Linked DNA regions of Rhinolophus ferrumequinum. The protein of the gene in region 2 purifies or fractionates together with the protein of the main gene of each other region. This does not show direct contact. Links are inferred from orthologs where the notes say so. Each region holds a gene or a part of one and is shown on either strand. Other genes may lie near its edges. The genes, in order: MKI67, G3BP1, ATXN2L and PABPC4.

Region 1 (7,411 bases), on a different chromosome or scaffold from region 2:
AAACACAATTATGTTTGTTGTACGTCTTCAGGTGACTCTTGTTCCTACATTTGTATATTTCCCAAATATTCTATGATGAAAATAATACAGCGTGAGCTTCTTAAACTAAAAACGAATTTTTCAAAATTTCATTCATGGTTTTTGATGCCATGTTTAGTTCCGACTTCTTTTCTTCAGGCTAAATCGGGTCGTGGGCACTGCAGGGTTGATGTAGAAAGCCCCTTGGCCGGAGCCCGTCTTCACTGGTCAGGGTATGTCCGGGCCGGTTCCGAAACTCCCGGGGTGGTTCCTCTGGTCTGCAAAGCTGAGCTTCTCTCCGCCCTCAGGTGAAGAGTTCCGGGTGAGAAGGGGCTGAGGCTAGAAGGGGCTGAGCACTTGCAGGAGGGAGGAGCTCAGGTGGCCGGAGAGCCAGGAGCGGACTGAGCGGTCAAGAAGGCCACATAGGGCCTCAGAGCTCCTGGCAGAGTTGGGTTGTCCTCTGAAAGTAATCGGCAGCCTCTGAAGGGTATATTGTAAGGGAGGAAGTCACGTGATCCGGAGTGAATTTGCGGCGGCTCACTCTGTCTGTGGTGATTGCCCTACAGAGGCTCCTGAGGTGGCGTCCCTGAGCTCAGCAGAGTTGCGTCACATCCTCCTCAGAGTGGGGACTTAGGGAATAGGGAAGGGCTGATAGAATTTGAAGCAGGGGAATAAGCGCATCCCAAGTGTCCTTGGGAGAAGCTGCCTTTGATACAGGCCCCTCCCCGACAGGCCAGGCAGAAAGGCCAAGGAAACCAAGTGGGGACAGAGGCTGGGAAGCCAGGGAGGGGCAACCCTACCGACCCCTGTTCACCCCACCTGTGCAATGCTGGCAATAGGGAATGGTCGGAGGAGACGGCGTCCAGTGCGGGGGAGGGCTGAGTGATCTGGGAGAAAGACCGCTGGCACCCAGCTCAACGGAGACCAGGAGCGGAGGCAGGTCCCACCCGGGCTTGGGCCCCAGGAAGCAAGTCCACGTCTGGGCTGGTGGTGACTCTGGATCGGGGTAATCGCCTGGCAGGGGGCCTGGTAGCTGTCAGCCACGGGATGTGTACGTAGGGGTCCCGGGTTCTCAGCGACATGGCTGTCTTCCGGGAGGAAAGAGCTCACCAGATCCATTTCGGAAGGACCCCAACCCCACCCCTGGGCCACTTTTCCCGTCCCCTGAGCCCCGCTTTAAGGCTCTTGTCTCCCCTGATGGGAAGACTGGCGGGCGGAGGGGGGTTATTAAGAGACAAGAGAGGGGAAGTGTAGTTGGGAGTCTGGGGGCTCCGCTGGTTGGCGCCGCTACCCCTACCTGCAGCCGCCCGAGGGTCCCAGGTCCGGGGCGCCCGGCTGGAACTGAGCCGTCGGGTGGATCGGGAGCACCTGCCCCCTCGCCCGTGAGGCCCTTCCCAGATTATTGACCGCACTTGTGGAGGGGCGCGACCCTCCCCGCCCTGCGCCGCCCTCCGCGGCCCCTCTCTCCACCACCCGCTGACCAGGTGGCAGAGGTGACAGTATAAGATTTACTGGGACACAGATGACCGAACAACATTCCAATGTGATACTGATTACACATACACTCAATTTATTGGAAATACACCGTCTCGTCCGGTGGATGGATGGGCCCGGAGTTTACCGGAATTGTTGAACGGTGCCTCATCGGTTGCCTGGGGCAATTTCCATCCTAAGTGTCAGGAGGCGAGAGGCAAGGAGCAGGGGGAAGGCGCGGGAAGGGGCAGGGGAAGCGGACTGCCCTGGCACACTTTCTCTGGCTGATTGACTGCAGGCGTGAGTGAGCGTGGGCTGTGAGGATCTGGACATTGATTCCTGGAAAACTCCCCGGGTCGGCGGACACCATCACCCCCGCACGCCGCGGAAAGCCGTTTCCCGTCCTCCGGATCAGCGGTACTCTAAGTGCAAGGTCCCTGTCCGTCGCCGTATTCAAGACTCCCACAGTGCTGGAGAGGAGCTTGGGGTCCAATGCCACCCCCGCATGTGGTACGTGGGATTCTCCTCACCGGAACGAGATCTGTGCTTTAAGGAAGTCTTGGGCTGTGGGCCATGCTTCTAACCCAACAGAAACACCCCTGCTAAAGTGTGTCATCAAACAGTTTAAAGAGGGCTGTGCCGCAGACCTAACCCCGTCACTCAAACAACCCCTCTAATTTCCTGCCCTCTCTAGAGAGCTGAACGTGTGTGTGGCACAGTGTTTGTGAGATTATCTGACAGGAAGCCTGGCACCTCCTACTTTTAATTAGGCTGCTGGAGGGTGGGTCACAGAACCGTCTCTGATAACAAGCGGTAATTAGAGTGACAAAAGTAGCGTTTTATGGGGTTGTTCAGAGATGAGCTTTCTTTGATGGAGTGAAGGGGGAGGACACGGAAACTAATCCCCTGAGAAGGTGCCGTGCAGGGTGTCATGCGGGGTCTCAGCTCCCACTCCCCACACAAGAACACAGGATATGGTGAGGCCAAAAGGAACACCCACGGAGCCATGGGTAGGGAGTCACACCACAATAGTCTCACTGGAGGCTGGATTCACAGGGCGTGCGACCTGCTGCTATCCGCTTTTCTGCCAACCCACCGACTCTCTGACTTCCCTCAACTCTCCTGACGCCCCAACCAGCACAGCCGCGGCAGCTGTGTCAGGGGCCAATTGTCTAACTGGCTACAGCTGAAGGCCAACTAGCCACAACCGATGGCCATCTACTACCCGAGTCAGCACCCCCCCACGTGAGGCCGAGAGCCTGGAGACTGCGCTCTGGGGCTCTGTCCCCACAGAAGGTTAATGGGAGCCAGGCACTTAAATTACCCACACCTGCCTTGTCACAGAGAGAGTTGGAGGTGTACATTCACGTCGTGTTCCCAGCTGTTCCGTATTCCCGGAGGCAGTCCCTAAGTTGTCGCTCACGAGCAGAAAGGCTCAAACTTTTTGGTCCCAGGGTCCCTTTATGCTCTTCAAAATTACTGAAGACCACTAAGAGATTTTTGTAGGTTATTAACTGAGTAATTTTAAAAACTTCATCTGTCAATTTATTTTACAATGAACTCATTTCATGTTAACATAAAAAAACATGTTTTAATGAAATATACCTACGTTATCTGAAAACAAAAATTACTGGAAAGAGCAGCATTAGTTTATATTTTTGCAGTTCTCTGTAATACCAGATTCAGTAGAAGACAGCTGGAGTCTCCCTTCTGCGTCTGCCTTTGGGAAACGCCGCCTTCCACTCAGGAGGAAATGAGCACAGGGGCGAAGAAGAACGTCTGGCGTTACCACACACAGGGTTTTCACCTCAGGGACCCCCTACAATGATCTCAGACACTTTCAGGTGTCCCCAGACCATCGGGTGCGAATCCTAATCCAGGGGAGCCACGCTGCAAGGGGTGCGGGTGGAGCGGGAGGCGGGCGATGACTGGCAGACAGGGCACGTTTGGGACCCATTCAGTCACACCACGTTGAAACGCTGACACACAGAAGCCTCCCCGCCCCCACCAGGCAAGTGGCTCCAGGGAAAATCCTGTGGTTATTTCAGAATGCGTCCGTTCTGTCGTGCGCAAGGTTTTTAAATTGGAGATTTTTTTTTCCTAATAGGAAAACTCTGTAAACCTAAACGAATAGCGATAGGAGTGGTTAGGTCAAATATAGCTGCTAAAGCGGGATGCTCGGCAGCCTCAGAAAGAAAGTAAACGGGGAAGATGTGTGCCTCCAGGTCACACATCTAAGAGCCTCCAGGTCTGGGAGGCAGAGAACACAAATGTAAAACAGTGTGTCTATTATGGTCTTTTCAGTGTGTTTTGAAAGAAAATAATACATGTACAACTGGGAAAAGACACGGAAATCGCTTATAATTACGGGTTATCTTTGGGGAGATACAGAAACTAAAAAATTTTAACCCTTCCAGCAATGAGTAACCTGTTGTGTACAATTGTTAATTGTACAATTGCATTTGGTCCTTAAAAAAGAGGAGGCTAGAGAGGTTTGGCGGCGGCGGGGCCACGTTCCGTTTCCGCCTGTTTGGTGCAGTCCCTGCTGAGAACCCGGGGAAGGCGTCTTCCGCGGGCGCCCCGCCAGCCGGCGGCCGCTGCCCCTCCCGGCGGAGCCCGCCACTCCCCTCTAGCCCCGCCCCGGCCCCGGCCTTGCCCCTCCCCATTGGTCTGCCCCCGCGCCGCCGCGTCCAATCGCAGTGCTTTGCGCCAAATTTGAATCGCTGTTTTCATTTGAATCGGGCGAACAGCAGCGGGCGGCTTTCCGCGCCCGCGCCGCCAACGCCGGGCACCTCGGGGACGTAGCTGGCAGGGACACCCGGTCGCCGGCGAGGGTGACGGCGGGGGGAGCGGGGACTGCGGCCGCGGCAGAGGTGGGCACGGGCCCGCGGGCTGAGTCCCGGACCCGGCAGCGCGGGGCGGGAGGTGGATTTCAAGTGAACACTTTGAGGGCTACTCACCGTGTGGACTTGGTTGCGCCTGGACGAGCGGTGGACCCACTGGTGGCAGTGAGGGCGAGTCGTCCTGGGTGAGTCGTGGCACCACGGGGGAGCGGACAGGAGCCGCGGAGAGCTCTCCAGGCTGTGCGGGAACCCGCGCCGGGAGCGCGTCCTGGACCCGGCTCGTTCTGGGCTCGGGCTCGTGGTCTCGGTGGGAACTCCCAGGAGACAAGACCCTGGTGGGCGGCGTCCTGATCGCGGGTCTTTCGGGGTGCTGGGTGCTGGAGGGCGTCCTGGGGGACAGCCCAGGGCCCGGCTGGGGCTCCTACAGTTGTCAGATAAGGTGTGGGCCGGGGTGGCAGGGCTTGGGGGAATTGTACAAGCAATCCCAGTTGGTCACTTACAAGTGACTTCTTACTTAGCTCCGTTTTCAGAGTAACACCCTCCTCCCCCGTGTTCTATTTTTGTTGTTTTATTCAGTGACCTATTCCTGCAGTGGAAGAGTTGCTTGTAAGTTTGCTTCAGCAAACCTTTTGATGCCTGACTTTCCTATACGGATTGCACTCAAATTCTTGGTTAGAAAATGGGTCCTACCGGACACCTTGTTACCATCAAAAGGAGCGGGGTCGACGGCCCCCACTTTCCTCTGAGTCTCAGCACCTGCTTGTTTGGAAGGTGAGCCCTGCGCCCTGCGTGTACCATTTAGCTTGAAAGACCTGAATTTCCTGATCACAGATTAACAGACTGGAAACAGGGCTCTGGGAGTAGTTCCTGCCCTCACATTTGCTATGGATTTTCCTATGTGTTGTCAACTTGAAGTGATGGCTTATTACGAAAAGAATTTTGAAAACAATGTTCATATATTAACTGGTTTCTAATCAAATGTTAAAATTGATTTGATAAACATCTATGAATGGAGAAAAACAGAGATGATTCTCAAGTCCTGATTCACTTCCGGCAGTCTTTAGAAAACAACTGTGTTTATCTGAAATCCCTCCGAATGTGGCATTCATTGGTTACTGGGGGACACTTGAGCAAATGGAGGAAGGAGGCTCCTACATGGCTTGCTGGTGTTTGGGGAAAAATGAACATGGAAGGGAAAGTCCTCCTAGTGTTTTGAGAACTTCTCTCCTGTCTTCATAAGTGTGGTTCCCCTGGAACAGGCCACGTTACTAATTGCACCCCTTCTCATTTTCTAACACTGTCCTTAAACAGACACTGATAGATAGGTCACCTTCCCTGTGGAGACCTGTGGTGCCACCCCGACCCTGTGCTGCTATGTTCCACCCCAGCTCAGACATTCCACACTCTTGCTCACTTTGGTGCTTTTAGCCAGTTTGAGCTTTAGGACTGGAATGTTCTCTATCCTCCTATGTGAGTGATTCCTTTCCAGCTTTTAGATGTCAGTTTCAACGTGACCTGAAAAGGAGCCTTGAATGGACATCGTCATTGTCTTTCCTAACGCCACACATGGTGATGAGTCTGGTTTGTCTTCCCACTATTAAGCCCCAACGACAGGACTGTGTGGTTAATGATTATGTCCCCCGTGGCTGGTGTGGGGTGCGGCATGTAAGAGGTGATCAGTGCTCAGCACCCCCGTAAGTGTCCAGGGGAACTGTGGCCGGAGAATGGACAGACTGGCAGTGTATGTCAAGTGAGGGCCAACTTGCCCCCCAGGAGACATTTTTCCATGTCTCCATGTGGGAGGCTTATGCCGCTGGCATCAGCGAGCCAAGGTCAGGGATGCTGCTACATGTCCTACAATGGACAGGGCAACCCCCACTGTAAAGAATTATCTGACCTGAACTATCAACAGCACCACGGTCAGGAACCGCCGTACACACATCTGTAGTGATCCCAGTGGGCAGTCTCCTGCCCAATACGTTCTCAGTTCTCAGGAGATAATCTCTCTCTTTCACTTGGTGGAATATTCTGATACCTAAAAACCAAATTCTCTTCTTTGATTTAAAGTAGCTGTTCCCTTACCGGTAGCTTCTTTCTAAAGAAATATACAGAAGGTGCCAAAAACATGTATATACATTTTAAGAGATGTTATCTATGTAGCAGTAGTTCGCCGCAATCACAAGTGTCTGGACGCTGATGGTAACCACTTTGAGCACCTCTTGTAATTGCAGAAATCAAACGTTACTATATATTGTTACAATTTTGAACACTCTGAAATGTGGATACATTTTTTTGTTGCGGTGTGTGTGTGTGTAACATTTTGGTATCAAATGGCTGTAATTCTGACTATTATACAACAGTGATTGATTAACTATATTTTTGTGCGAGATTTTGTAATTCATGTTTGGTCATTGGACATGGGAAGGAAGACATCATAGACTCTAGAGGTTCATACTGACAAGAGAGAAGAGTATATACTTGTTTAAACTTATAAAAGCACCTGGTGGTAATGGGAATACCGGAGCTGCACTAAGGACCTCTGGCGAGTTTCTGTGGGTTTGGGAAGTCTCCCTCCCAGTGCTTCCTGCTGAGGTTAGCTTTTTGTGAAAAGACAAGTTGAATCTAGAGAATGTTTTATTGTTGCTTGCAGATTAGTATTTTTAGTGATAAGAAACTGGGGAATCTGTCAGTTAATAGAGTGTAGTTTTAAAAGCCACAATAAACAGCTCACAAGTAATGACATTTTACTGTGGGCCAGGCAAATGACAGACGTGCACAAGTCATTTAGTCATTTGAAGAATACCATGATATAGGTGCCAATGTAATTCTCTTTGTATATGAAGAAACTGAGGCACAGAGCAGTTCTGGCATAAAGTACAGCACTTTTGGTGATGAGTAAACCTTCAAATATGCATTTGTGTACATTACAAATGAATGTACACAAACCTTTTTATAGAAGAAAAAGCATGAGTATTAAAAGTAGTTCTCATTCTCCAAACTGACGTAAAACACTCTTACATTGGGGGTGCCAAAAAACACGTATACACATAACTTGTATTTATCTTTTGTTATTGGTA
Region 2 (7,138 bases):
TTTCTCCTACCCTGGCTCAAGTTCACGTCCCTGTTAGCAATTGGCAGTTGCATGTGACTCCTTCCAGATATAATCTGTGCAAGTACACCAAAACCATATAGGAATGTATATAGATAGCTATAGCAACACAATATATCTTTATAGAAATAATCACCCATGGCGTCCCTCCTCCCTTTTTAACTGTTTCCATTATTCTGCACTTTGCTTTCTTTATATATTGGTACCTCTTGGAGATCACTCTATAACCATACACATAGATCAGCCTCATTTTCTCTGACAGTCCACTGTATTGTTTTTAACCAGTCCCATATAGTTTGACAGCTGGGTTATTTCCTGTCTCTTTCTACTACAAGCCGTACTGCAATGAATATTATTGTACTAGGTCTTTGTCACAGGTGGGAGTTTAACAGGTCAAGATACGCATACATACAGGCACAGGTTTTTAATCACCCTTCATGAGTGATTAGCTATGTGTGGGAAACACTGATCCAGATGCTATCCTTAGGATCATTCCTTACCAAACATTTCTACCACCCTTCCATTGCCCCCCACCAAACTGTATTTCTGGAGTCTTACCCAGGTTTCTTCCCACCCTGATTCTCAGAGCTTTGGGGAGAATTGGCAGAAAGAGAGGGTGAAGTAGTGTACTGAAGGGGTTCGCACATTTTGCTTGGCAGTGGAGAGAAAGACCAGTAGGAGGCTGGGACTCTCCCTTAGATGCTAAGATAACTAGACCCGGCTTTCTCAGCCCCTGCCCTATTGACTTTTTAGCCAGATAATCCTTTGTCATGGGGAGGGGGGATCTCAGCTGCATCCCTGGCCAGTGTCCACTAGATGCTAGCAGCCCCTCTTACCCACTTGTGACAAGGCCACATATATGTCTCTTGGGGGCAAAATCTCCCTTGAGAAAGCAAGTGCTCCAGACAATTCACTGGTGGTAAATTACTCACTGAACATTTACTAAATATCCAGCGTCTGGGTCCTGAGGGTTTATGATCTGAGTGGGTAAACGACCACAGGAAGATGCCAACTTCTCTGTCCTGTGGAGACAGCAACAGCCACCTGAAGGATCTTGTTCACATTCTCCCTCTGGTAATTCATTCCTCTTTCCTTCCCTCCTTTCTTTCTACCTCCCATTACCCGGCGAACACAGTCTCGTTGTAAAACTTTCAAATAATACATTATTCTCATTGCTCCCAACCTAGGGGATTCCCTAGGAGGAATGACTATTGTTTTAAATTTAAAACCCTTCCTCTGCACTTAGATACCTATTTTAACATGCAGAAATCAGTTTTGTTTTTTTGGTTTCGTTTTTACTAATATGAATGGGAATTCACTGTATGTTTTGTTGAACTTGATTTTTTGTCAATTAACAATCCAGTTAACAATCTGTATAGTTTGTACCTCATTCTTTTTTCAACTGCTGCATAGTGTTCTGTATTACGTGCATATCACCAGTTAATCAGTTTGCAAATTGATGAGCAATTAACGTTTTCAGTATTTAAATATTCTAACAAAGCTGACAGTACTGTAATGAACGCCCTGGTACATGCCTCTTTGTAAAAAAAATGTGGCTATCAACCAAGAAATAGGACATACATAATTTTAATAGACTGCCAAATAGCCTTACAAAAAGCTGTAATCACTTACAATTTCCTCCAAATGTAATTAAGAATAGCTTTGACCCCTCCCCCACCGCAGGCCACCTGGGTTAAATTACTAATCTGTGAATTTAAAGTTTCTCCAATCTGCTCTGATTAGCGTTTCAATTTGGAGAGTCATCTTGTAAAATGCAAATTTCTTAGTCCATCTTTAAGAGACCTTTCAGGAGCTTTTTTCCACTGCTCTGAGAATAAAGTTCAAGTTCCTTAGCATGGCTAACACGATCCTTAAGTTTCCTTCCTTCAGAAAACCTTTTGCAGCTTCCTGGTCTGGACTGAGTTCTCTCCGGTGTGTTCAGTCCCACACACCTGTTCCCCGGTTTTGGGAGCTACCGGCCCAGCGCAGCGCCCGGTCTGTTGAATGGGTGACAGCGAGCAGGGACAGCGTCTTGCTCACCCCTGATCGCAGCCCTTGGATCTCAATAAATGCTGAAAGAGCGCGGCCGCTGCGGGAGTGGGGTCCGGGGAGGACGGGCGGGTAGAGGGACGCTTTCCCCGCGTTTCCGGGGCCAACGAGGAGAATAGGGATGAGCCCAGATGCCACCAGGCGGCTGCCCACACCCCTTCTTTCCCTACAAAGACGCTCCACGTGCTTCATTTCCAAATTTCTCAGCAAAACTTAACGGGAACCCCTCCCGCAGGGTCACATTCCTAGAATAAGAACTGACCGAGGCGTGTCTATGTATTTCCATATAAAATGCTCATGGTGACCAACAGAGGGCCCAAGAAAACACTGAGTGAGACGTGGACAGGACCAGGCTGGAGCGTCACTCAGCCCCCGAACTGTTTCGGGAAATCTTCAGGGTGTCCCTATAGGAGTTTGACAAGTTACCTTTTAAAGATGGGAACAACTTCAAGAAATAAGCCTCCACGCCCACAGCGATTAGAAAACTGAATGACAATGGTGGTGACGCACAGGATGTTGCATCGAGGCCCAAACTGATAGGACAACTTACAAACTACTGTCCCTCGGCAAAAACTAAAAGGGAAAACCTCAGTGAACATCCACCAGCCAACCTTCCGGTCGACCTGCAGCAGCAGCATTTGCCCAGAACCGCAGGGCAGAAATTTGTGTTCTCCAACTCAACAGTTTCACGTGCTACTTTTTACAAGATCTTAGGAACACAACAGGAGTTACTTTCTCCTTTGGCTTTCCCTTAACAGTTGCCCAACGATAGTGCTGACTAACGGTGAGAGCCAGCAAATGCCCTTAAGCATGGAAATAAAGTTAGCAGAAACAAACAAACAACGGGAAACTTTACCACTTGGTTTCCCTCGTATCAAACTGTGCAGAAAAGGCGGGACAGAGGCCTCAGCGGCCGAACCCAACCAGCGAGGGAACGCCAAGAGGAGAGCGGGGACCAGGAGAGCCTCAGACCCGCACCAGAGGGCACCGCGGCCCTGGGGCTCCGTCTCCTTGGTGCAGTCCAACCCTCGCGTCAATCAGCTCCTTCTCGCGTTGCGATTGGTCGGGGGCCTCCTTGGCCTCCCTGGCGCCCACCTCCTAGCTGCTTGGGGTTTACTTCCCCAAAGTACACGGGCCCCACCTTGTGGAGCAACCGCTCCTGCATTGGAAAACGGATCTCCGCCCAGGGGAAGACGTTTAAACGAATAGGAGCGGCCCCATGCATTTATTGGCTACTCTGGGTATCAGTTAAAGAACTTCCCACCCCCTTTTCCACTGTACCTTGAAGTAATTGGTCTCTCTCTGTGCCAATCTGTTACTAGGGAAACGAGATCCTCATAGTCTCATAGGCATGAGTCAAAGCCAATCAAGAGCCACGCCTTCATCCTGAGTCAGTGCCCAATTGCTGCTCGAGGAGCCCAGAGGACGCAGTCGGGATTGGTCATCAGCCTGCCCGACCTGGCCGCAACAAGTTAGGCTGAATGGCATATATATAGACCGGCGACGGAGCACGCGTGTGTGCGGACGCAGTTGCGTGAGGGGCTTTTGCCTTGTGTCGTTCTGTGGAGCAAAGCTTGTTCCTCCCCGGCTCAGCCGCGCAGGTACGCCGGGGTGTGGGCGGGGCGGGGCGGCCCTGGGTCGAGGACGAGCTGGGGCTGTTGTGAGAGGGAGAGGTCCGAGCGGCGCTCGCGCGAGGCGCGCCCTCGCCCTCCCCCCCCAACGGACGCAGGCGGCCGCACGGGCGCGCGGAGGCTCTCCGCCCCCCGGCGGGCGCGCGTGGCCGTGTCCGCCGCGTGCGCGTGCCGCGCCCAACGGCCACGTGGGGCGAGAGCGAGCTGCGGCCGCCGCCCCGGGCCCCAGGGCGATCTCGGGGGCCTGGGGCCCCGCGCGGCCGGTTGGCCAGCCTTTCCCGCTCGCTCCCCCACCCACGGGCCAGTTGAGTTTTTCCTCCCCGGCGTGGAGCTTTAGCTTGACCCGGACGAAAGAAGGTTTTTATGGGGGGGGGAGGGGGCCACACGAAAGTGCGATAAGAATTTTCGACCGGGGAAGTAGAAGTGTGGTTCCAGGGTTTTGCAGGCAGTGAAAGGGGGTGCAGCGAGTGCATGGGTAATGAATGATGATAATAACTCACATTTTTCGAAGCCCTTATTGTGTGCCAGGCATTGTGCTGGGCAACTTGTGTGCCTCTCATTTACTCCCACGACGACCCTGCAAGGTAGGTTCCCTCAGTTTACAGCGGACTCAGAGGCCCAGAGGTGGAGTGACATGGTCACAGGCAGACGGACGGTAAGGGGCAGGTATTTGTTTTAACCCAGGCCACCTGACTCCTAGTCCCCGAGCCTATTTTAGTCTTTGTTCCAGCGCCCTGTGCGGCCCTAGGGCACTTTGGCCCCCAGAGTACTCGTCCCAGGGGACAACATCAGCCTCTAAAGGCCAACTGCTGCGAAGACTGCAGTGGCATTTGTACTTGAGCCAGTTCATGGGCTTCCAGGGAGACGAGTTGGACGTGCGATTAAGACAAAGGAAAAGAAATGGTTTGGGCTTCCTTTGTACGTGTCTTCGCGTAGCTAGCTGACGGATGTGCTGCCCTAGAAGCTTCTGGATAAAGGACAGAATAAAAGGAATAAGTGCCAGTGAACACGGGCAGTGTTCCTCGTCCGATGTGCGACTCACAGCACGCTGATGGGAAATTCCCACCAGCAGGAAGTTAGGCGCTGCTGGTACTAGACCTTGAATCAGTTGTCTTCGTTTTTCCATCGGAGCCGACTTTTGAGAAAGCCCTTGGAGAACCTAGTTTAACTTCCTTGTTTTGTAGTTGAAGAAAATGAGGTTTCAGAGCAATGCGTTTCAGATCTCAGCAGCGTGTGTAGGTTAATGTTTGAAATTGGAATGGAAAGGCTAGTGCTCAGTTACAGTATAGAGCGGAGCTTATGGGAGGTGAATTACAGGTGGGTGATGGAGATGTGTTGGGAATCTTACCTTTCTGGCAGTGGGGTTGGTCTGTGGATGAATGCCTGTCTACGTTCAGTTCATTTATCTAGCATTTATTTACTCCTAGGCTCCTGTGTATGAGTGTATGGAAACGTGGAAGACACCTCCAAAGACTTGGGTTTATCTTTTTCTAGTAGAGTTACGTTTTAGATTTTTAAAAGCCAGTATACTCTTTGGCTTAATGAAAGAACAAAAAATGTTGCCGTGTTGCAGGCCCAGGTCATTACTTGACGTGACACATGTCTCTACTTGAGATAAAACTACAATGAAAGTTTTGGGACAAACTCTTCTGAATTAATTTTGATTGGAATGGCTTTCCACCTTTTAAAAAAAGGCATCTGTTTTGTTTGTACAAACGCTTTTTCGGATAGCTCTTGATTTACAGTCAGAGAACACAAAATTTAAAAACTGAGGAACCTTAATATGTGTTTCCATTTACTTAATAGTTTCCATGTTTAACAGAAAGTAACAAGAAAGGATTGAAATATTGTATAGACAAGTTCTTTACCTATAATAGGTGACAATGCTGTAAGAATATAACATTGTTTCACTTGAACTTGCCTTCCTGTAGCAATTTCAGTTACCTGCACTTAGACACCCCTTATCTATCGAATTAGAATTTTTAGTTATCAAATGTGAAAACATAATGATTACATTGAAACTCTTAACTTTGAGTCCAGCTAATTTTATTACTGCTTGAGGTAAAATGTATCACTGAAATTATCTTGTGCATTAATTGTGGGAAATTTTTATTTTGCCTTTCAAATGTTTCTTAAAAAAACCCAAAAACCCAAAAACTGTTCTTGGCCTCAAGCAAATACATGGTTATCAATTGAACAGGAATATGAAAACTGGTAGTTCACAAATTGGTAGCCCAGCTGATCTCTTCTTGTGCTTTCATTTATTAAGAACAAATGAATTGAAGCAAATTGTGATAATAAAAGACTTGGGTGCCTCCCTGCTCCCCAGCCAAGTTAGAGGTTACTTTTGTTGTTAAATCCTTTCAATCTAAGCTTTTGTACCTCTTCCAACTGGTAGAAAAGTAGGCAGTTCTTTGTTCTTTATTTAACTCACATTCACTTTGCTGTTCTCAGCTGACAGTCTGCTAGGGAACATCAGGAGATTGGTAATGTTTGTTGGTGACCTACTTTGCAGCAGTTTTTTGTAATTTACATTTTTTTTTTACTTGTTTTAGGGCTTTGCATAGAAAGTAAAAGGCAGAGATTAGTTTTAAATTATTATAGGTTTGTGAATTTTATGTGGTTCTTAGGAGGATGGATGGGGCAATGTTTAATTAAATGATGAAATTTAATACAAAGCCAGAATTTGTGATCTAAACCAGTTTTTAATTTTTTTTTGCCAGTTTAATAAAATTACCCATGTGATCTTCAACATTTTGCAGTTAGACTGGTTTTTAAAAAATAACATTTCAGAATGTAAATATGCATTGTATATTCATTTAATTGAACATAATGCTTTGGACAAAACTTGTTGACTTTACTGAGGGAGATAATTGTCAAAGTAGGTAGGTTAAAAAAACTGCTTTTTTTCCCACCCTCTGGCTAGTCAGTTGTTAACATCTAGTGGCAAAACCTTTAGTGCAAAGCAACACTGTCCTTCCAGCCATGGAGTTAAATTTAGATTCAGCAACTGTAATCTCACTTGTGGTTGCTGTTCACACTGTAACAGTTAACTAGATTTATGGTTTTACATCTCAATCAGCTTTCTGTTTACTCAAAAAAATTTTTTATTTTTAAGTACTCTTGGACACCCTGCCTCACCTTGGTTGGGAAAGCTAAATTGGAAGCCAGGTGAGAGATGGTGAAGAATGGGCTTTATAAAGTAGAAAGTAGATAATAAATATCTCTCATAGGCTGTGGCCTTAGTAAATAAGGTCTTTAGGTGACTACATGGGATGGATTTCCTCTTCTGTCCACGGCCCACGCGTCATATTTTATAATATTGCTTAGGTGTTAGCTTGTGTGCTATATTTCAGGTATTTAGTAAAAAGTAAATGTTAGAGATGGTTCAGAGGAAGAAAACTGGCTTTCTGGTTGGGACACACTTCTGTTTTGTAGGG
Region 3 (7,128 bases), on a different chromosome or scaffold from region 2:
GCCTATGCAGACATCAGATGGCTGTTGGACTGTGGACAGTTGTAAACTTAATCAGTTGGCCACTCCAATGGTAGCTGCTGTCTCAGAAGCAGTATCCTTACTGGAACAAATCAGGATGGCCCCTGGTATGACGGAAAGGCTTATTAAAGACTCAATTATGGTATCCCTTGGGAGACCACACCCTGAAAGGATGGAGTTCTGTTTTATAGGATGCGGTATATACTTTAGTCAGAGACCAGTATTGTATGGTGCCGTCTCCCCTACACATGGGTCTGAGAATCAAGGGGTGAAATGGACCTTGTTCTTCTCACGATTATTCTTAATAACCCATTTGTAGAATTTTTGCTTCTCATCTTGGCAACTTTGAGCTCTGCTGAGTATATATTTGGACTATTTAATAGTAGGTTGCATATATCATGTTCCTTTGAACATAAATATATATTATATATATTCAGTAAGAATATACTCTTACATATTTACGGAGTTATCACACTCAGGAAATTTATCGAGGATGTAATACTTTATAGTCTGTATTCCAAATTCATCCATTTTCCCCATAATGTCTTTTATAGAAATTTTTTTTCTGGATCTAGGCCAGGATCAAATATTTCATTTAGTTGTTAGTCACTTTAGCCTCCTTTTTAATATGGAACAGTTCCCCAACCTTTCTTTGGCTGTGATGCCAGGGACATTTTTGAGGAATATAGTCATTATTTCTCCTGTATGTTTCTTCTTTTAATGTGTATATGCATATACATTTGTGGCTATTACCGGTATGGGCGCATGGGTTCTTCTGTTATTTAATGAGTTATAACCTGTTACTTGTGCCAGATTTGGCCTCTTCAAGCTGGCTTCTGTCTCTTTGATACGCTTGTAATTTTTTTTAGTACTTACGTCGTATTTTCTGGCTTGACAAAATGTTCCAAGCTCATCTGGTGCCTTCCTTGCTCCTGCCCAGGCTGGAGTCAGCCATTTCTTCAAGGAGCCCTGGGTCCTTTCTATGGAATGGTATTTAGAAAGCAAGATCTGGGCATTAGATGTGTGTAAATCAATCTATCTTGTCTATGCCTCTTGTTTTTTCTATAAATTCTATACTGATACTTCCCATTGCAAGCCTTACAAAGTTTTTGTTCCCTTCTCTCATTCCATATATGCTTCTCCCTACTTCCCTAGTGAGAATCCTGGCTCCCAACATCTACATATTTTGTCATGTGCTCAATCCACAATACACTCAATAGCTTCAGAATGTTCATGGTCTTGCCCTACGGCAAAATTACTAAGAAGAATTCAAGAGTTATATGCTGTGTTTTTTCTTTAGACAGAGGGTGCTTGAAAGTTACTTGAATGAGCCCTATTTTTTTCCTTTTTAGTGTTATTTTTATTCATTGAAAATAGAGTTGGGCTCATTTATTTATATCTATACTCAGACTTTAGATTCCGTCCATCTCTCTTGATTAAATTTCTTGAATACGTTGACCATTAACACGCTTTGAAAAGTCAAAACTGTATTGGAAGGTATACGTAAGGAAGCTGTATTCCTTCAAGAACATAACCCAGCAACCAAAGGTCCCTCATCTTTCCTACCCCTCATAGGTAACCGATTTTATTAGTTTTTGGTTTATCCCTCTTGAGTTTTTCTTTGCAAAAATGTGTAGATACATTTGTTTTATTTCCCCTTCTTCCTTGCACAAAATGTAGCATAGTTTATATTCTTTTGAACTTGGCTTTCTTCACCTAACAAGATAGCCTGGAAATCACTCCATCTTAAATCAGTGATATAATTTCTAAATTGCATATAAGACATGGTTTTCATTTACCAACTGAGTGACTGTGTGTCCAGCCATGGAGCTAGATATGGATAGAGAAATGACTAAAATACAGTCCCTTCATGACCTTAGACTCCCGTGGAAAGGAGAGCCACATAAACAAAACCATCACAGTGCTCTGAGGAGGGAGTCGGTAACAGGATGTTCGACTGCCAGCTGAGTTGAAGAATGAGAAAGTAGGTGAAGAAACAGCACGTGTACAGGCAGAGTTGGGTACGGGTCAGACAAGTTGTGGAAATGGAAGTTTAGCGGGGCTAAACCGAATTCCAGTGTGGGAAGCAGGATGTGGATGGGGGATACCTGAGTGCCCGTAACGAGGGTGGAGAGGTGGCATGGCACCAGCTGGTGCAGGGCATGACAGGAAAAAGCTGGATTGTGTTATTGAGCCATCCAGGAGACATGGTCCTTAAAAAATCACTCGGAGCCATTCTGTTCACAAGGCCTTAATTTACTGCCTGCTTTGTGCTACCGTAGGTCCTGCAGGAACAGTGAGTAGGAGTAAGATCCCGACCCTTCGGGTGCTGACACTAGTAGGAAGACAGAATTCAAGGAGCTCTTGGATAAAGGGGGGGAAATTCTTGGACAAGCACACAGGAAGGGAGGGAACCTCACACACTTGAAGCTAGGAGTGAGGCAGGGGTGAAGGAATACTTCCCAAAGAGTAAGGCAGACTTTCACCTACGGGCTTGCAGGTGAGGGCTCAGGAAGTTTCCACGCTAACGCCTGGAGCGAAGTGAGACCGATATTGCAAGTTTCGCTGGGATTAAGACCACAGACCCATCACTGCTTCACTCCATTCTCCCGGTAGCACAGTAGTCCTTTAAAAATACAAGTCTGATCTCTTCATCTTCTGTTAAAAGGCTCCCCACTGCTTTGAGGATAAGGTTCCTCTCCTAAAAATCTGATCCCAGGTTACTTACCTCTCCGGTTTCATTTTTTAAAACCTCCCTCTTTAATTTTATTCTCCAGCCATGCTCAAGTTTTCTTGTCACATCCCATTCCCCCTTGCCTAGAAATCCATCACCCAATCCGGGGTCACTCCTATCTGCTTTCTTAGTGCCCTGTGCTTCACCTAATACCGGGTTTCCCCAAAAATAAGACCTACCGGGACAGTCAGCTCTAATGCGTCTTTTGGAGCAAAAGTTAATAAAATACCGGATCTTATATGTTTTGCTCCAAAAGACGCATTGAGCAGAGTGTCTGGCTAGGTCTTATTTTCGGGGGAACACGGTATTATAGATCTCACCTAATTGTCTGAATCTACCACCAGCTTGAACTCCCTGAGGGCGGCAAAGGGTTTAATTACAGTTGTATCAAGAGCATCTAGCCATTTTAAATGAATGAAGGCTGCCTTCACTGCAGTTGGGTGGAGCATTTTGTACTTTGGCCTTCCTTTCATTACTCCGGTTTAAGGGTTCATTCTAGGGCATGGAGAAACCATGTAGGTTTGAAAACCACTGAAGTTTAAAATACACCGCCGGGCTCAACCTGGCAACTGTAATGCCCGCCAGTCTTTTCTTTAAAGCAGATAAGGTCGGGAGTAGCTCCTCCTGAAACCTGCCAGCAGCCTGTCTAGTCCCGGGATTTTTTTTTTTTGCACTTTGACTCCGCCCAAGGGCCCCCAAGTGGCGGAAGAACTGCACGTTACGTCGTGCGCATCTCCCACGGCTGCGGAGGCATCCCAGCGCTGCGCCGGCGGAGGGGGCGGGGCGGCCGGCTCTTCCTCGGCTGCCTCGGCTCCTCCCCTAGCGTTTCACACGCTCATTGTGAAGCGACAGCGGCTGGCAGCGTTGGGGGCTGTTAGACACCCAGAGACCTTAAATTCTCGGCGCGCGTGGGCGCCGCGCTGCTCCTTCCCCATTCCAAAGGCTAGGGGCGCGAGGTTCACTTTCTTTCTTCTCTCCTTCCCCGCCGGCGCTAACCGCCCCGGTGCGCGCGGACCCCGCGCCGCCGCTCCCTCCCCGCCCCTCCCCCTTCGGGAGCTCCCGCCCGCGCGCTCCTCCCTCTCCCCCCCTTCCCCCGGCGACGCGCACGCGCGCCAGGCCGGCTCGCGCCCTCTCGCTTTCCTCTGGCCCGCGAGACCCCCTCCCCTTCCGCCTCGCGGCGCTTTCTCGCGCCACGGTCTTCTCTATCCAACCCCGACCCCGCGGGGCTCCCCGCCCGCCCGCCCGCCAACGGCGGGTCCCTTGCTTCCCAATTCCCCTCGCTTCCTGCGCTCTCCGGTGGGGGCCTAGCCCCGGCCTCTCTCCCTTCCTTCCCCCTAATTCCCCTTCCGGACGCTGCCATCATGTTGAAGCCTCAGCCGCCACAACAGACCTCCCAGCCCCAGCAGCCGCCCCCCACGCAACAGGCCGTGGCCCGCCGGCCTCCTGGGGGCACCAGCCCTCCCAACGGCGGCCTCCCGGCGCCCCTGGCCTCCACCTCGGCTCCCCCAGGGCCTCCCGCGGCCACTTCCCCCTGCCTGGGGCCTGCAGCCGCTGCCGGGAGCGGGCTCCGCCGGGGACCCGAGGGCATCTTGGCGCCCCAGCCGCCGCCACCGCAGCAGCAACATCAGGAGAGGCCAGGGGCAGCGGCCATCGGCAGCGCCAGGTGAGAAGGGGTGGCGCGGGGTGGTTTTCCGGGCGCTGGAGCCCAGGCTACAGGCAGCGGCGGCTCGGTTCCGGCCCGGCGGCCTCCTAGCCTGGCCACCTTTGAGGGGCGCCAGGGGGCGTGGGCCACCCCCCCTGAGCTGGGAATGGGCCCCCGCAGGTCCTAACAGGTCGGAGGAAAAGGGTCCCCCGGCAGCTGCCGGGACACTCGGGGGCCATGCTCAGCTCTCAGAGCCTGGTCGGGTCTCGCGGCCCGGGCTTTAGGGGAAGGCAGGGCGCCTCCCGGCAGCGCCGTCGGAGCCCGGAGTTGGGGGGTGAAGAGGTGATCTGGGGTCCCCGGCTCCATTACCAAGGAGGGTCTCGCGGTCCCCGGCTTCAGCCAATGGGGAGTCAGCTGCGGGAAGGGGTCCCCGGCCGTAGCCAATGGAGGGGGGCGCGCGGCCCACAGTTTGGCCAATGGGGAGGGAGGGACTTGGGAGCGTGTGGCCGCCTCCTCCTCCCCGGTCTGGCCAGTAGGAGGGGAGCGGGGTGGGCGGGGGGACGGAAGGAGAGACCACTGGGAGGTCTGCGGGCCGGGAGCCTCCGGCGCGCGCGCGCGCTCTTTACGTACGTGCGCGTGGATGCTCTGTCTTATGACCCAGGCATTCGGGAGTCCAGGGTAACATGCAGGGCAGTGGCCGGGAGGGTGCGCGAAGGGGCTTCGGGATGGAGGGGTGGACACGCCACTCGGTTTCTTCGGAGTATGGGTTAATGGAATGGAGCGTGGCGGAACACGCAGGCGCAGTGGGTTCGGATCGCGGGAGGGGGTTTTGAAGAGGCCCGTGGGCTTTAGTGCGCAGGCGCAGACCGGGCGAGGCCTCCGGTGGATGGCTCTTGCGGCTGCGCTGTCCCCCAGCCCCGCCAACGGCCCCCTCATCACCCTCCTCCGCCGCCGGTTACATCAGCCAGCGAGGAGCGGGCTTAGCAGGCGATCGAGGACCCCTCCCACAGTGGGTACCGCGCCGAAGGAGGCCGGAGGTCGAGAGGGTGGGCTGTGGAGGGAGTCCCCTCCTCCCAGGATCGGAGCGTCAGGCTGCTGACAATGATTGTCTTTTCGGTTTGGGAGGTAACGTGCCTGAGCCAGGGACTTCCGCGTCTGCACTCCCTGAGCTTCCATTTTTATGTCGGAGGTGGGTTTTTGGTTGTCGAATGCTGGAGCGTTGGTGTGTTGGAAGCGTGCAGCCCAGGCCCCTTGGAGAAAGCGAGGCAGTGGTGTAGGATGTACTGTTAAAAGCAATTGACAACAGGGGTCGATTGCGATGTGTTTTCCCGGCGTTTGGAGGCAATGTGTTTACTGGCTATACTGCCCAGGCCTTTCTTCCTCTATAAGGTGAGAGTTTGAAAGTTACGTTGACTCACTGTAGCCTAGATCCGCATCTTCACGTGGTCTGTGGTTCTGGGATACCAAGTCCTTTGAAATCAGTCGTGTCAGGCATTGAACAGATTTAAATTAGTTTCTTGTTTCCTTCTCTCACAGGGGACAAAGCACAGGAAAGGGACCCCCACAGTCACCGGTGAGTGCCTCTGCCCACCCCAAGACTTAAAAGACACCTAGGTGGGAATATAGGACCGATTAGTTGTAGATATGGTCAGGTGGGCTCAGAAGAGCAGGGGTCTCAGCACATAGTACTTCGGTGGGGGGGTGGAGTGTGGATATTTAGAAGGAAGGTGAGGTGTTGTCTGGCTCTTTATTTGTTCCTCCTGTGTTACTGACAGGTGTTTGAGGGTGTCTACAACAATTCCAGAATGCTGCACTTCCTTACAGCTGTGGTGGTAAGTGGGAGCCTAACCCCTGGGTGGTTGGAGGAGAGTGATTCCTCTGTTTGCTGGAGACGTTTTTATTTTTCCCACTGTCCCAGGGCTCCACCTGTGATGTAAAGGTGAAGAATGGCACCACCTATGAAGGTATTTTCAAGACTCTGAGCTCAAAGGTCAGTGTACTCAAATTAGCTTAGTTTTCGAGTGCGTGCAAGGAGGAGGAGAATGAAAAAAGTTCATTGAAGGTGTGCATTGAGTGGTGGTGGACCGCAGTGTGGCTGTCACTCATTTCTGTAGACCTGTGTGCTAGAGTCGTGCTGCGAGCAGTGAAAGACGTGCGTCTGAAATTTGAGGGTTGGATGCTTTCATGTTAAAACGCTTAAATCTTAAAACGTAAGTTTCTAAGTTTGGGGCTTTTGCGACGTCTTATGGCTGATGTTGAGAAGACATCACACATGAGAGTGTGATGCTGGGAAAAGTTTAGAAAGGGTAGGAGAAAAATAGTCATGTGTGTTGCCTTCGTGTTTCGTGATACTGACCCTTGGGTGTTGGAAAATGGGACATTTTTAGTTTGAACTAGCCGTGGATGCTGTGCACCGGAAAGCGTCTGAGCCAGCAGGTGGCCCTCGTCGCGAAGACATTGTGGACACCATGGTCTTTAAGCCGAGTGACGTCATGCTCGTCCACTTCCGAAATGTGGACTTCAATTACGCCACGAAAGGTATTGTGCCAGGCTGGTAGGTCCCGAGTGGGGCTGCAGAGGGCAGTTCCATCACCCTCAGCACCACCCGCTTTACCACCTTTTTTCCTGAGGAAGATGGGTGGATTTTTCTTCTTTAGAGTGTCTTGAGGTCTAAGATCAAGTGGAATGAATTTGGTCTATGTTGTGGTTCTTCGTATTTTCCCTGCTTTGTTTT
Region 4 (7,285 bases), on a different chromosome or scaffold from region 2:
CTATTGACCTATTCCTGATAAGATACTGGGAAAAGTTTTCTGCCAAGAAAGCAAAGTTTTTGTGTTTTATCAAAATAACTTGCTGTAACTAAAATTGAACACGGCACCTTGAGCTGAGCTGCCACTGAGATCCCGGATGGCTCAGGTGGTTGGAGCGTGTCCTCTCAACCACAAGGTTGCCGGTTCGACTCCCACAAGGGATGGTGGGCTGTGCCCCCTGCAACTAGCAACGGCAACTGGACCTGGAGCTGAGCTGCGCCCTCCACAACTAAGACCGTAAGGACAACAACTTGAAGCTGAACGGCACCCTCCACAACTAAGATTGAAAGGACAACAACTTGACTTGGAAGAAAGTCCTGGAAGTACACACTGTTCCCCAATAAAGTCCTGTTCCCCTTTCCCAATAAAATAATAATAAAAAAATAATTTGCTGTATTTCATGTTGTCTTAATCTGATCTTCGACTACTTAAGAAAACCAAATCTTCTCAATAGTAAGAGCTAACCTTCTGTATTTAAAATTCCCTAGCTGACCTTCATGAAAAGGGGCAATAAAATCTATATAGATTGTGGCACATGTGGATGAAGTCTATTCTACTTCTGCAAAAATGACCCCTCAGTGACAGACTTTTGCCATCTCGATGCCCATGTACTTTGACAACAGTCTGCTCCTGAATCAGAGAAACTAAGATGGGCACACAATGGCTGTAAGTTAAATGAATAGTCAGGGCAGTGGGAGACCCAGAACGGCTGCTTGGTTCTTCCAGGCTCCCTGGCAAACCCCTTTTTTGTTTTTTTCCATCCATCGTAGTGCATTTAAACTGGACTTCACTCAACTGCCATTTAAGTTTGGGTTATCAATACGTTATTCTTGTTGTGTATATGTTTTCCAGATGCACTAAAGGTTTCCCCTGCCACACGGCTGGAGTTCTCACAGTGGCAAAGAAACTGTTAGAAAAGGTGTTTCCCTCTCAGGGTATAGCTTCCACAGTCTCTAGGGATCAAGGCACCCACTTCACTGAGCAAATCATACAAGCCTTGACAGAAAGCCTTGCAAACTTCTTGGAATTATCACTGACCCTATCACCCTCAATCATCAGGCAAGGTCCAGAAAACTAATGGACCAATTGGATTCAAGCAGGACAGGTCTTAATTACATGGAATTGAATGAACTGATGAGGATGATTACAATTTTTATGACTTTTTGTTTGAAACATTGCTGGCATTTAAAATTTTTTTGTTCTTTCAGATATAAGGAAACCTTTCCTCTTAAACTATTACTTACAGTAATTTGGTGAGTTATACCTTGGTAAGCAGAATTGAAACATTTACTTTTTTCTCCCTGCTTGATCCCTCCAGAATTCAGAAAGCTTCAGTGAGTATTCTTATTTTCATGGCAGTATTATTTGTATAAATTCAATACAAATTTGTTCTCCTTGTAACAAGACACAATCGGAAACCGGATAGATTACCAAAGCTTTGGCAGAAATGTTGTATTTGGGAGTGACATGCATAGATTCAGATATTACCAAACAGCTTGAAGGATTGAAGATTCACTTATGGAAGCCAATAAAACCCTCAGAAATACCAGCTGGCCTGGTATCTTGCTTATAGGGTTCCCAGTACCTTACTGGAAGATGTAGGAACCTCAAGATATTTTGAGAACCTTGAGAAGAGAGGAATTAACCCAAATCTAAAAGTATTGCTGGTGAAGACTAATGACAAGTCCTTGGCTTGGCTTTTCTGGCCTTGAGAATATTTTTAAAGTTCAAGCTGTAGAATCTTTATGAAAAATTCTAGCAAAGCAGGTTTAAAAGCCTTTACGATCAACTGCTATTCTTGTATTTATACAAATAACAGGCCAAGTTTATTGAAACTAGACTTATTTTGCAAACAAATTAGTCTTAATTTGAATATCTTTGATCAAAATAGGGGTGATTTTAGAGAGAAAAGTTATGTTTCAGTAATACATCTTTGTGAATATTAGATACTAGTGCTGTTTGTTGTCTTCTGAGGTTTTTGTTTTTCTACCTGCACTGGATGCTGAATTCTTCTAGTTTCCTCAAATATCTGGCTATGACTCTGCAAACTAATGTTTCCGATTTTTCTGCCACCCTTCTAACTTGAAATCATTGGGAACTAAAACTGCCGTTTTCCCAAAGCCATGTAAGCTAAAGTTGGACAACTTGATATAAAATTCAGAAAAATCACCACAATAGCTCATATATGGACAATCTTCATGCCTGTTACAGAAAGATCACCCTAGACATTCAAATTGTAGATCAGGAAAATCTATCAGATTATCACTGCTTGCCCTCACTCCATCTGAAGATGCTTTGAGCCAGACATCTAGAAATCTTGACTGGCTGCCTGGAGCACTCAGGAACCGGGATTATAGTCTGTTCCAAGCATTAACCATTGTTTTTCTTTTGTTTACATAGAGATGCCTCTTATTAAATACTTGATTGCTATTGCCATAGGCCTAGTTTTGGCAGCACACCTGCATCACTGCCTCCGGAAATGAGACACAACTGTTTAACTGAACTAACCTATTCTCAAGACTGAGACTGGTTTAGTGAGACATGGAACAATCTATCAAACCCAATTTCTGGAATGTGAAACTTATCAGGAAATTTCAAAGGCAGGACTAAAGTTGTTCAGAATAGGCTTCTCTAAGATATGCCACCGTGACATGTGAACTATTTTGAACTGAAGGCAATTGAGAACCTGCGGGTTCATGAGAAACTTTTACCCCCTTTCCTTAAAGAATTTAAATTGGGGGTCTTGCCCATAATAAGAGTTATTACCAGAAATAACTTTTTACGACCTATCTATAGGGTAGGCAAACATCTAATTACTGCACATCTGTTCTTTTTATTGTCCTGCGAATGACCCTCTTCCCCTCTGAAGCCCCAAGGCACTTTACCTCATCCTTAGCTCAGAATGTCATGTATACCTCATTTTAACTTTGTCTCTGAACCTCTCATGTATGTTGGGGGGGGGGTGTCTGATTCTCCATGTATGTGAGGTTTCTATACATACAGATATAATTAAGTATATTTATTTCCTTTTGTAAATCTGTCTCATGTCAATTTAATTATTAGACTAGCTGAAATAAAGTTTCTTTCTCCCCCGCAGAGCCTAGACACTAACTCCCTTTTACAAAGAAATAGAAAGTATTTTTGCACCCTTAAATGTCAACTAAATTTCCAGAAACACCACTGCCATCTAAATAGAGGGATGATTGTATTTTGTTTTATGAAGCTTTACCAAACTTTGTTCATCTTTCCAGAAAATCCCATCAGCCATGGATACTATTGCATTTGTAGTTGTCTTACCTCTTGGTTCCAGTACCCTGAAAACTTCAGAATGTCTTCTCCTTTTTTGGGGCCCAAACATTTACATATTGGAACATCTATTACTGTGTTTCCCCGAAAATAAGACCAGGTCTTATGTTAATTTTTGCTCCAAAAGACGCATTAGGGCTTATGTTCAGGGAATGTCATCCTGAAAAATCATGCTAGGGCTGATTTTCCGGTTAGGTCTTATTTTCGGGGAAACACGGTATATAATTATAATTTATTTTGTCATCTTTATTTTACAATTAAGGAACACATTGTTTATGAACATTATGCGTGCTGGTGGGTTAAACTGTCTACAGGTTCTATTCCCAGAGGGGCGGGAGGTTTACAACCTAGTGTGGCCAGCTGCCCTTGGGTCTGGCACAGGCCCCGAGCGGTCCTCCGCGCACCAGGGGTCGCTGTAGCGCAGCGTGGCCACACCGGGTCTCTCTCATGTGGCCGCCCCGCCTCGGGCCTCCGGGCCGAGTGGGCGGGCACATCTGCGCCCAGGTCGCCAGGCGCCCTTCGACCAGCAGCGCCCGGGGCGGGCGGGTATAAATGGAGCGGTGGCTCCCCCAGCCGCCTCTCTCCGCCCCGGGTCGCCGCAGCTTCGGCCGCTTTCGGGCTCAGCAGCCTGAAGAAAAAAAGAGAAAAAGATTAAAAAAAAACCCGAAAACGCTTTAAAATCTGAAAAAAAAAGAGAAAGCGAATCCTTCTCGGAGAACCCGCGGGGAAGTCACTTTTGCACGCTTCCGGCCTACCCGCGTCCGCCGCCCCCACCGCCACACCTGGCTGTCCGTCCGTCCGGTGGTGAGCCGCCCGCGTCCACGCGCCTCTGCTCCAGCCGCCGGTCCGCGCCGCGTGGCAGCCCCGCGCCCCCGCCCCCAGCGCGCCGGCCTCCCCGTGCACCACGTGTCCGCGCTGCCCTTCGCGGCCCGGCGTGGAGGCGGCTGCGCGCTCAGCCCCCGGGGCTCGCCGAGTCGGCACCGACAAATATTTTGTTTCCCTCGTCCCTTGGCTGCTGTAATCTTAAACCGCCAGGAGCCCGAGGCCTATATTTATAGAGAAACGCGTGTCCCGGAGGCCGCGTGGGCACCGTTTGGTTGCCTCTTGAAGAATTTTTATAATTTGGAGGGGAGTCCCCATTTAAAAAATTTTTTTTTTTTTTGTGGAAATTTGGAGCCTCAGACCAGGACAGCTGAAAATCACAAACTCCCCGGGAGGGCCATATTGTTTTTGAGAACCTTTTGTCTGCGGTCTTGCAGTCTCGAACGAGCCGCCCCTGAACTCCTCGGCCCGCTCCTCTGTCTCTGAGCCTCCTCCAGCTTCTCTCAGCTTCACTCTGCCACCTGTGAGCCGCGGCGCGGGCCCCGGCTCCAAGAAGAGCCCCTTTTGTCCTGTGTGGTCCTTATAAGAAGTCCTCCTGGCGGGGCTCGGGGTGGTGGGGGCTGGGGAAATGAACGCTGCAGCCAGCAGCTACCCCATGGCCTCCCTGTACGTGGGTGACCTGCACTCGGACGTCACCGAGGCCATGCTGTATGAAAAGTTCAGTCCTGCGGGGCCTGTGCTGTCCATCCGGGTCTGCCGCGATATGATCACCCGCCGCTCCCTGGGTTATGCCTACGTCAACTTCCAGCAGCCAGCTGACGGTGAGTAGAAGCCTTGTCTGCAGATTCACAGGATCCCACGGGGCCTCAGGAGTCATCCTCTAGGCAGGTCCCTACCCTCGTGGAAGGGGCAGCACGACAGCACGTTGCCACAGAAGCCGTAGTGGGGAATAGGATGCAGGAGTGGAGAACACGGGATCCTGGCATCAGATGACCAGTTTCAGCCTTCTACCACTTGCTAACTGGGTGACCTTGGGCTAATCAGTGGTGGCAGTGGGGTTGGAATCCAAGGAGACTGGAAAAACGGCTTCAGAGGGAAGTCACTGTCGTTCCATGGTGTGTGTGACCCTGCTTCAGTGGAGCTGGGCTGTTGGAGACCCTCGGCTGGTCAGTGGGCATGGACTCATGTCCCACACAGGCCTGCCAGAAAGGCAGGGCGGTGGAAACAATAACTGCAAAGATTTTAGGTTGCAGAACTGCTGCCCCCTCCCCTGCCTTTACCCTGGACTAAGAGTCCGTTTGATTTTGTGCTGATAAGGTATCTTTCAGTGAGGTAGGAAGCAGGGGAGCAATTCTATGCATTAAACTTCAGCAGGCATTTGTGTTAGCACAAGAGGAGCATGTGCCAGAGCAGCTCCCAGGTCTGGGTGTTTGCCACTTGGGTAGGAGTTCTTCACTCTGGACGAAGCCTTCAGCTGTGGAGAATGGTCTCTGGGTAGCCTGGGGAACCGAGGCTTGGAAATCCACTGGGCTGGTAGGGATTATTGCCTCACCTGTGAACAGTGCTTTCTACTAGTCAGAACACTTTTACGTCATCCCATCTGAAGAGGATAGGACTCTTAAGAAGGAAAAGGAACTGCAGCAGGTTGGAGGCTAAGCTGGGACTGCCTGTGCAGTGCTCCAGGAGCCCAGATTAGGCCTTCGCTTGGCGTGGCGAGGTATGCCGCAGGCATGGCAGGGGTGAGGCCAGAGGAAACCTAATCGGGCTGCACGTGACTCCAGATTAAAAAGGAACAACTGTAGAGATCACTACGAGAAACAAGCCATTCTGTGGCAAAGGATCTCCAGGTCCCTATTTTTGTCCCTACTTTGTTCACCACGAAGCACAGAATGTCACTTGCCCAGGATGCAGCTGAGACCAGAGGATTGGACTTGTTGAGAGACATGAGGTACTGCTCCCATTTAGTGTGCTCTGAGCTGACTTGTATCTGGCCACAGGGTACGAAGAAGGTAGCTGAGTGTAGCCTTTTTCAGGGGGAGTAGCCTGCCTTGACTCTTCTGAACAAAAGTCTTGTCACTTAGCAATAATAGCAGGAGCCATTGGTCAGTGTGTCTGCCAACACATACCTCTGCAGGACCTCTCCCTGCTATAAATAAGTGCCGCCGGATTTGTCAGACTAAGCCGACTTGCCTTCTGCAGCACTGTCTGGAAATAGAAGAGGAGATGTGTTGGAAAGGGTTCCTTTGCTACTAATTAATGAAACACTGTTTGGGGTCCAAGGCTTTCGATCTCAACTGGCCATTACAAGCAAACTCTTCTGTGCCTGGACTTTTCCTGACTTCCTCCCCTCCCACACTGAGGAACCCACCTGAGGAAGGTGGGAAAGGTGGTTGGAACCGAGTGAAGAGGGGATACTCCCTTGGCTGACTGGGCAGCTAAGCTTGTGGAGGGGCAGTTTTGTCCCTAAGTGGGGTGGTGCCTTGAAGCAGGGACCCCCCCCCCCATCATCCCTTCGTTGAGGACATTCTGGGAGATACATTGCATAAGTCAGGGAAAGTGAACACCAGCTCCGGGTCCTTGTTACTACCAGTGAAGAGAAGTATTCCTGCCGGCAGGTGATGATATATTTTATTTTATTTTTTTCCTTTTTTAATATTTTTTGACAGGGGAGGGATATTGGGGAACAGTGCACTTCTCCAGGGCGCAGCTCAGTTCCAAGTCCATTTGCCGTTCTCAATCTTAGTTGCAGGGGGCGCAGCCCACCATCCTATGCGGGAAGTGAACCAGCAACCTTGTTAAGAGCTTGCACGCGCTCTAACCAGCTGAGCCATCCGGTCGGTGATGATATATTTTAGCTTCTCGTCCTTTAAATGGTCTCTATGGTGCACACATGGATTTGGTTGGGGAGCTAAGGAACCAAGGCCCTGGATGGAGAACTTGGTTGGGCACCACAGTATTTGAAGTCCTGGAATTCTATAGAACTCAGATTAAGGGTTCAGAAGGCCTGGAAACCACCAGGTTCAGGGCCTACCTGCACTACTTAGGCAGAAGGCTGTTGCAGTTTTTTCCTTGTCTGTTAATTCAAAGAACATTTCCATGTGTGACCATTAGTATTTAT

The links.
Region 1: the proteins of G3BP1 (region 2) and MKI67 purify together in Homo sapiens (affinity purification with mass spectrometry; 3 studies listed by BioGRID and IntAct, with this or other methods). This does not show direct contact. The link is inferred for Rhinolophus ferrumequinum from reciprocal best matches to the Homo sapiens genes G3BP1 and MKI67.
Region 3: the proteins of G3BP1 (region 2) and ATXN2L purify together in Homo sapiens (affinity purification with mass spectrometry; 4 studies listed by BioGRID and IntAct, with this or other methods). This does not show direct contact. The link is inferred for Rhinolophus ferrumequinum from reciprocal best matches to the Homo sapiens genes G3BP1 and ATXN2L.
Region 4: the proteins of G3BP1 (region 2) and PABPC4 purify together in Homo sapiens (affinity purification with mass spectrometry; 4 studies listed by BioGRID and IntAct, with this or other methods). This does not show direct contact. The link is inferred for Rhinolophus ferrumequinum from reciprocal best matches to the Homo sapiens genes G3BP1 and PABPC4.

Annotation. Positions count from the first base shown.
Region 1 is NC_046299.1:3,639,244-3,646,654, forward strand, and holds the start of MKI67 (proliferation marker protein Ki-67), read left to right. Parts: upstream 1-4,400; 5' UTR 4,401-4,519; intron 4,520-4,910; 5' UTR 4,911-5,013; coding exon 5,014-5,105; intron 5,106-7,411. UniProt on the Homo sapiens protein: Protein that associates with the surface of mitotic chromosomes and acts both as a chromosome repellent during early mitosis and chromosome attractant during late mitosis.
Region 2 is NC_046307.1:23,502,115-23,509,252, forward strand, and holds the start of G3BP1 (ras GTPase-activating protein-binding protein 1), read left to right. Parts: upstream 1-4,138; 5' UTR 4,139-4,180; coding exon 4,181-4,282; intron 4,283-7,138. UniProt on the Homo sapiens protein: Protein involved in various processes, such as stress granule formation and innate immunity. Plays an essential role in stress granule formation.
Region 3 is NW_022680357.1:1,217,396-1,224,523, forward strand, and holds the start of ATXN2L (ataxin-2-like protein), read left to right. Parts: upstream 1-4,113; coding exon 4,114-4,415; intron 4,416-4,763; exon of another isoform or gene 4,764-4,919; intron 4,920-5,019; exon of another isoform or gene 5,020-5,159; intron 5,160-5,273; exon of another isoform or gene 5,274-5,403; intron 5,404-5,422; exon of another isoform or gene 5,423-5,519; intron 5,520-5,616; exon of another isoform or gene 5,617-5,783; intron 5,784-5,930; coding exon 5,931-5,967; intron 5,968-6,169; coding exon 6,170-6,226; intron 6,227-6,312; coding exon 6,313-6,384; intron 6,385-6,781; coding exon 6,782-6,932; intron 6,933-7,128. UniProt on the Homo sapiens protein: Involved in the regulation of stress granule and P-body formation.
Region 4 is NC_046292.1:27,731,774-27,739,058, reverse strand, and holds the start of PABPC4 (polyadenylate-binding protein 4), read left to right. Parts: upstream 1-4,278; 5' UTR 4,279-4,795; coding exon 4,796-4,988; intron 4,989-7,285.